Linked DNA regions of Mus musculus. The protein of the gene in region 2 interacts with the protein of the main gene of each other region in a pairwise test. Links are inferred from orthologs where the notes say so. Each region holds a gene or a part of one and is shown on either strand. Other genes may lie near its edges.

What was found.
Region 1: the proteins of Wwp2 (region 2) and Pdlim7 interact in binary tests that used the Homo sapiens proteins (3 or more experiments, as listed by UniProt). The link is inferred for Mus musculus from reciprocal best matches to the Homo sapiens genes WWP2 and PDLIM7.

Annotation. Positions count from the first base shown.
Region 1 is NC_000079.6:55,510,647-55,515,073, forward strand, and holds the start of Pdlim7 (PDZ and LIM domain protein 7), read right to left. Parts: upstream 2,801-4,427; 5' UTR 2,721-2,800; intron 1,773-2,720; 5' UTR 1,762-1,772; coding exon 1,666-1,761; intron 1-1,665. UniProt on the Homo sapiens protein: May function as a scaffold on which the coordinated assembly of proteins can occur. May play a role as an adapter that, via its PDZ domain, localizes LIM-binding proteins to actin filaments of both skeletal muscle and nonmuscle tissues.
Region 2 is NC_000074.6:107,456,619-107,460,420, reverse strand, and holds part of Wwp2 (NEDD4-like E3 ubiquitin-protein ligase WWP2), read right to left. Parts: intron 2,979-3,802; coding exon 2,831-2,978; intron 2,542-2,830; coding exon 2,420-2,541; intron 1-2,419. UniProt on the Homo sapiens protein: E3 ubiquitin-protein ligase which accepts ubiquitin from an E2 ubiquitin-conjugating enzyme in the form of a thioester and then directly transfers the ubiquitin to targeted substrates.

The DNA.
Region 1 (4,427 bases), on a different chromosome or scaffold from region 2:
AATGTGAGGGCTAAGCTGGTGGTCAGAGCACCACAGGGAAAGAGAGGCTAGTGAGATTAAGGAGGGGAAAAGCCAGGGGACTGGACAGTGTTATGGGTGTGGGTGAGTCAGCCTGGGAGCTCCACTGAGCAGCCCAACCCCCAAATCCCAGACATTACCTCATCTTCCAGGCCTGGGCCCACAGCCAGCCCTAGCCCCTCCTTCCTCCCTCCACTCTGGGGTCAGGGGAGGGATAGCGGGCTGGCCCAATTTAGAAAAGACCACCCCACCCATCAGGGCCTAACTCACTCCAGGGCAGGACTCAGCGGGTGGCCCCACCCACAGGTTAAAGCTGCTGACAAAGGAGGCCAGGGGCCAGCAGGGGCCAGCAGAGTGCCCCCAAAAGGCAACATCTGCAGGGCCTTCCTTACCAATGAAGAAAACTTAAGACCTACACTACACTGGCCAGCACTTTCCCAGAGGGGAGGAAGAAACCCGTAGGATGTACGCGTGGGGGAAGGGTCTAGATAGCCCTTAGTCATCCTGCTGGTTGGAGCAGATTCCAAAGCAATTCCAGAGAAGGATTCTGGGAAGAACACAGCATGCATGCCTGCCTGCCCTGTCCACCATGTCTGGCTCCCACAGAGAGAACCAGCCTTGATACCCTACTCAGGCTGGGCAGTGCCTGGAAATTCTCAGGCCCCTTTGGGCTGGGCTTGCCCTGGGCTTCCTGCCAGCAGCTGCCTGCCTACACAGTGGCTGGGTGGGCCTCTCTAGGCAGGCGGATATCAGGGAAGGAAGTCCCTGCCCCCTTTTTGACCCCCTAGGCCAGTCAGAGATACCAAGCTGGAAGGCTGGGCACAAAGTTTGCTTTGAGTCCTACTGACACCAATGACTGAGGGCCAGGTAAGGGGCCTAGACTTAGGCCAGCCCTCTTGGGCTCTGTTGACTAGCCACTGCTGGCCATCCCAACTGGGGCCCGCATTCTTGGGCTTATAAGGTAATCCCCCTGCCTCAGGGAGGAGTCAGTTCCCAGCTCCACCCTCCTCACCAGGGTGGACTGAGGAATGGGAACAGGAATTCTACAGGCCAGCCTCACTACACCTAGGCTTGGGGTCAAAGGCCACACAGCCTGACTAGAGCCAGCTGACTGGGACTCAGTCCTCACACAGGGCGGGAAGAGTTCCCCGTTGGCCTTGACCGTACAGAGAGTACAAGCCGTTTTTGTGCCTCAGTTCAAACCCTTGCTCTGCAGTGGACTTACTGAATGGGCTCCTCCAGCCCACCAAGCTCTGTCACTTGGGGAAACAGGATGACAACTGCTATTCCTTGAATAACTGGAATTAAAGTTACATCCTGCTGGGGACCTGGCTCCACAGGCTGCTCTCCTAGCTAAGTAAGATACTTCTTGGAGACATCAGCCTCCAATACCGAAGGAACAGGCTCCCCCTTGTCACTCACAGATGGCTTGGTGGGAGAGCATCAAATACCATGTCAAAGTAGGGAAGTTGGGAGTGCCTCTCTACTCTCCACCTAGTTGGGAGTCCTGGTAGTTAAGTGTCCATTTGGACCTGGATACTCCTGCCTTATTGGTCCTGGCTTGCTCCTGCTGTTTCCTCCCATGATCCTCTGGAAACCTGAGCACCCAAGAACCCTTGGGGAGTTTGTTCCCCCACCTAGGCTCACCCGAGAGATAGAGAGGGGCACATTGAAGTCCTTGCCCCCTTGCAGACGGAAGCCCCAAGGGGCTGGCCCTTCCAGCACCACCTTGAAGGAATCCATCGTGCCTGCTCCTGTGAGGAAGAAGAGAAAGTGTCTGCAATGCAAATTGGCAGGCAGGTCCAGATCTGGGCACTAGCGTTGGCCAGGCACCAAGAAGGCACGGGCGGACGCTCAACACACACAGGCACTGGGAGGCAGGTATCTCAGCTGGCTTGGCTGGGCTCCTGGCAGGCCGACCTCTCACAGACAACAGACAAGGTGGTTCCCCACCCTGCCCCCTGCCACCGGGAGGGCCTGGAGAGGCCTCTCCGAGCTCAGGTGCTTTTCTCTTCCAGGGGTTGGCTGTGGGGCTAATTGGCACTGCTTTGCCCAAGCTAACCTGGAATCTCAGGAGGGTGGCGGGGTGAGTCAGGGGCCAGCTCCCCCTCCTTCCCCGGGTCCCGGCAGGCAGGCCGCCGCCGGAGCCTGCTCGGACTATATAAGGCGTGTAAGCTGACACTGTAGAGAGCCCGAGGAGGGAGCACGTTAGGGGCTCGGGATATGAGGGGGAGGGGTGGAGAAGGAGGACGCTGGAGCGGGTCCTAGCCATTTTGGGACAGGTCGAGGCTGCTGGTGGTCAGGGCGGGACCCCTGGTCTCTGAAAGGGGAAAAGAAAAACGGGGTACTGGTCCTGTAGAGAGCGACGGGGGCCGTGTCCCTTACGCACGGCCAGAGAGGGGATCCTTTCTGGAAGCCAGAGAAAGTGGTGCCACCCACGCACGATGCTCCCTTGCCAACATGACTCTGTTTCCCTTCGTCTCCCGCCCCAGCCCCGCGCTTGGCCGCGTCCCCACCGCACACAGTGGCGCAGGCGCCAATCAGCCCCACTTCGCCGCAGGAAGGCGGGGGCGGAGGCTGCGGCCGAAGCCAGCCGAGGGAATCTGGCACTCTTCACGACCACCCACGCCCTCCCCAGCGCCTCAGCGGGCCATAGGACCCCGTAGGGTGCAGGCCAGGAACCCCCTCGCGGACGCCGGTACCTGAGTGCCCGCCTGGGCCGCTGCCTGGCAGCCTCCGGGAGCAGCGATGGGATCCGCCGCTGCGCTCTGACCCCGCCTCCGCGGACGCCGCGCCTTTTGAGCCCGCGGAAGGGGGCGGAGCCCTAGGCCACGCCCTCCCCAGGCCAAACGAGTGGACATCCCGGGGTCGGTGGGAGGCCCCACCCAGTCAAAAAACCCTGAGTCTCCAGGAGAGGGAAGGTGAGATCGGGCACTTACCCTCGCCAGTCGGGTCGCTGCCCAGCCTGTGCCCCGCTTCAGGCTCTCGCCCAAGCCCCTTGCGCCTCCCACTGGCGGAGTGGAGGAAAGCATCCGTTTGAAACCCCAGAGTTGATTGATCTCTCACCGTATTCTCTTGTAGAGGAAAATGGCATGGTAACACTTTTCTGTTAGGGATACTGTTAGAGGTCAATATTGTCAGCATCATCAGATTTCAGATTCTCTAGGAACTGGAGAAGCGAGATAGGGTAGTTTCAAGTTAGGCTTCCTGGTGTTCGGGATGTAGCTTAGTGGTGGAGCTCAGTAGCTAAGCTCTCTGGAGGCCCTTGTTTCAGTCCTCAACACCAAACCCAACCAAAGGCTTGCAGGATATAACAAACAAGTAAATACATACATAGTAAGAGCCAACGGGGGCGGGCTTAGCGCCACTTGTTGTCTGACGGTGTAAGTAGAGTCCACAGCCATGGGACTTCCACCCAGAGCCCCCAGAACCACTATTGGAATGGATTGTTTCCCATTTAACCCCAGTCCAGAGTACACAGTTCTTCCAATGCGGTTGGGATGGAAGGGGCTGCCACGGAGTGTTCTCAGAGCCCCTGCTTTAGCCTCGGTCTTAGCCAAGGGTGGGCAGAAGGAAAAGCTGAGCTCTCCTGAATGTTTGAGTCAGTAGAGAGGTGCACAGCCTCCCCTTGCCCAGCCCCCCCATCATCACACCCCCTCTTCCCCATCATTGTCCCAAGTACATAAATTCTTATGGGAGTTGTCATCCTTGAAGAAATCCTCTTCAGGTGGGTCTCTGAGTTCAAGGCCAGACTGACTGATCTATGTAGTGAGTTCCAGGACAGCCAAGGCTACACAGAGAAACCGTGTCTCGAAAAACTGAAGAAAAAAAAAAACCAAAAAAACAAAACCACCCTCTTTAGCTATCTGCTATGCTTCTGTCTCCATCACGTTTCCCTCTTTGTCCCTCGTCCCCTATACTATTGACTCTTTCTCCAGGTCTTCTATGACCTCAATTAAGTCAGCTGCAGCCTTCAGGTTTCATCCTGTTCTGACAGGAATGCTGGTCTACACCAGGTTGATCAGGGGTTTTTTCTTTTTCCATTCCTTCATTTCTATCTTCTTCTTCCCACCCCCACCCCCCCAGATACAGCGCCTTCTTCTGACCTCTCTAGGCATCTGGTGCACACATAGCGCACATATGCATGCAGGGAAAACGCCCATACGCATAAAATAAGGTCTCCTTGGGTAGACTGGCTTGAACTTGCATGGGTTCCCAGATCTTCCAGCTCTTCCCTCCGGAGGGCTGAGATCATACCAAGCCCAGCAGCTTCCTCATCTAAAATCCCAATCTTTCTAGCTTCAAGGCTTCCTTCCCTCTATAACACTTCATCGGCCTCCAGTCTTTGGCCATTTGGTCATGAAACTCACACCTTAAGAGCCCTTACTCTCCTTTGGCTTTCAATAACA
Region 2 (3,802 bases):
AACAAGCACGTGGGGGTTAATGTCCAATGCCGCAGAGCTGGTGGAAGTGGAATTCAAATTGTTAGCTTCAATTTTGGCTTCAAGATCTACACGCTAGTAATCACTTCTCTATATAAAGTATACCAGAAGAGCCTTGTTGAAAACCTTATGAAACATGACCAGAATGTCGGGCAAACATACCCTGCTGCTGTCACTCAAGAGGACTTGTTTCCCCAAGAAGAGGAGGCCGCTGCCCTGTCATGACCCACATTTCCTGACTGTGTCTCTTCTGATGGGCTCACTGCCTACCCAGCCACACACACAATGTGCTACAGCTCATGCCCCAACAAGCAATGGTGACAAGAGCTGAAGTCAATGCCTAGCATGCACGAGACCCTGGGTTTGATCCAGCACCGAGAAAAACTAAAGAAGGGAAAGGGAGGGGAGGGGAAGATTGGAGATGAGAAACGCAGTGGCACACATTTGAAAAAATATAAGACTGCTGCTTAAAATCCTTATACTAGTAAGTAGTAAGATTTCATGAATTGATTTTTTTCAGAAAAAAAATGAATTAATAAAACTGACTTAAGATGAATCAGGAAAGTTGAATAAACCAATAATTGCAGGGGGACATGCAGACTAAAGAAGTCATCAAAGAATTATTCAAATGAAGAAGCCAGGCCTTATTGGTTTTATGGCTGGGCTCTTTCCTGCACTTCTGGAACAGAAAATTCCCATGTTGCCATCTGTTACCAGGGTTGGAAACTGCTTCATTCACTTTAGAAAATTAGCCTCAAAGCCAGACACTGGGAGCTCATGCCTCTAACACCAGCTCTCGGGGGACTGGGGCGAAGGGACTGCTGCAATCCTAAGACCAGCCCGGGTTACAGAATAAGTTGAGTCTCAGTGCAAAACCTTGTTTTAAAAAACAATTAATAAAAATAATTTTTAAAATACTTTAGCTTAGCCGGGTGTGGTGGCGCACGCCTTTAATCCCAGCACTCGGGAGGCAGAGGCAGGCGGATTTCTGAGTTCGAGGCCAGCCTGGTCTACAAAGTGAGTTCCAGGACAGCCAGGGCTACACAGAGAAACCCTGTCTCGAAAAACAAAAAACAAAAAACAAAACAAAACAAAAAAAAACCACTTAGCTTTTAAAACAAACAAACAAACAAAACCAGAACACAACCATAGTGTTACAAGAATATTACGGGAAATTCCTAAACAGACTGTTAATAAGGGAATCAAACGAACATAGCTACAACGACTAGGCAGGGGAGGCAGAAACAGGAGGATCACGGGGGCCTGCTGGCCCACAGCCTAACATCCTTGGTGAGCTCTAGGTCTCAAAACAAAAACACAGATGATGGCACCTGAGAAATGACACTTGTGATTGACCTCTGGTGACCACAAGTATTCATACACATGAGCACACACATACATTCACACATACATAAAAAAACACCAACTCGAGCCGGGCGTGGTGGCGCACACCTTTAATTCCAGCACTTGGGAGGCAGAGACGGGTGGATTTCTGAGTTCGAGGCCAACCTGGTCTACAGAGTGCGTTCCAGGACAGCCAGGACTACACAGAGAAACCCTGTCTCGAAAAACAAAAACAAAACAAAACAAAACAAAACAAAACAAAACAAAACAAAACAAAAACACCAACTCAAATGACAAAACAACTAAGACAGAGGCATGTCCCTGGTTCTAAACAATCCTCCACCATGCTGCTCTATGTCCAGCGGAAAGGACCAGAGCATAGGAGGAGCTAACCTTCCCAGGCAGCCCAGCAAGAAGGATGGGCTCCGAAGGAAAAGCCTCAAGCTGTACCTAAGCTTCAACACTCCCCACCCCGGGTCTCACTTAGGCTAAGTCCATTTTCAAAAAATATTTCTACACAGTAGGAGAAAAAGGAGCCTTTCTTTCCACAGCAGTTGGCTGCCACATATGGTACTGCTCTGAATAGAGGCTTTATGAGGAAGGGTCTACAGCCCGCAGGCGTGGGCTATGCCACTGGCCACAAACAGCAAGGAACAGGCCTCAGGATTTATATGTCCGGCCAGCAGAGGTGCCTGAGATAATTCAGATGGAGCTGCTGTCACATCCCTAGGAGACACAGGGCGCCTTCTGTATTCCTATCCCAAACCCAGAACTCACACTCACATGCACACAGCTCCTTTGTTCTGTTCTGGGGCTCAGACAAGAAAAGCACTGATTTCAGCTGGAGGTATGTCTCCTGAGTGAGAGAGTGGGTAGGATAGCCTCCCTCCCTGAAGAAGAACTAGGGGACACGGTCCTGCATCCTACAGCCCTGGACCAAGCATGCTGAAGTTAGCCTTCCTTAAACTCCACAGATGGTCTCTAAGGGGCAGAGGCACTGTGGCCAAGCCCAGGACTGGTTGCATACCCTCCCTGACTAGAGGTGAATCATACATACTTTTGCCGCCATTGTTCTTCAGGACATTGGAGAGGTTGACAGAGGCAGTGCCCAGTAGTTCATTCCTCAAGGTATGACAGCTCCAGACCTTCAGATCCAAATGACTCTGGGCTGTGACATTCCTGGAAAACAAGTAAGTGACTCATCACAGCCTCGCCGGGGAGCAGCTACCCCTCTAACATGAACAGGCTGCTGAAAGCTACCCTGCTGATATCTTACAGGGGACAAAACAGGAAGACAGTCACATACACACCTCACACGCTGACCTGTAACCCCTAGCTAATAATGAGTGTCTGTGAGCTCAATGACATACAGACACCTAAAGAGGAGCACCATGGGGGCCAAGGGCAGCAGAGTCTGCACCCCAGCCCCCCCTCCCCACCTCCTGCATTCCACCAGTGACAGCCTTACAGAACGATGATTTCATTCCAGAGCAGTTCAGAGCTCCCGATGCGCTTCCCCGTCTTCTTGGTCTCGCTGGGGAGTCCATCCACTGCCACCTCCACGTAGGAGTTGATTCTGGGCTGGCGGTTGTGCACCTTGGGCTTTGCTGACACCACTGGATGGCACAGAAAGGATAGGCAGATGAGTTAAAGGGTCCCATGCGCCCCTTGGGGCAGGTGCTCCTTTTGGTTATTTCCCTTTGAAAAGATTTTTTTTTTTTTTTTTTTTTTTTGGTTTGGTTTGGTTTGGTTTGTCCTCTTTTAAAAAAAAAAATTAAAACTTTTGAAAACTGACATGGTGATAGCTCGTGCCTGAGGAATGACACCCAAGGTTGACCACTGACCAAAATATCATGTGCACACAAACACATACGTACAAAATGAATGTTTTTGAACAAGAAATAAAAAGGGGTATAAACTAAACAAAGAAGCAAAAAAAGCATGTGTGTACAAGAGTCTGAACTATGAAGGGAGAAAGATCGCTCCCAACCCAAAAGCACATGAGATAGCAAAGTGCTTTGCTCACTGGCCTGTTCCCCAGTCCCCCAAATCAACTTTTAAATGACTGTCACAAAGTCCGCTGCACGGCTCTGCTAACTTTTTACACTGCTGAGATGACGGCTTATAGTCCTTTGCTCTGGGACAGTCAGCACAAGCGGGGCTCCTCAGAGCAGCTGAGCCTCCTTTAAGGTTTGGGAGCGTCGTCTTCGGGGTTCTGGACACCCTCGGGGACTCCCTGCACTGCCTCTGAGCATCTCCATTTGGCCACACTGCAAAGTGCAGTGCTGCTTCCTCACTTTTGGCAAACCATTTTTTTAGAAATAAAATCAATCACTAAGTCTCAATCAAGAGTTACCGCGGACGCTGCAAGGCACACATCATATGGAGCCCCCAACTCATGAAGCGGGAATATCCTGTCTCCCTGACTGTACCCAGGAGG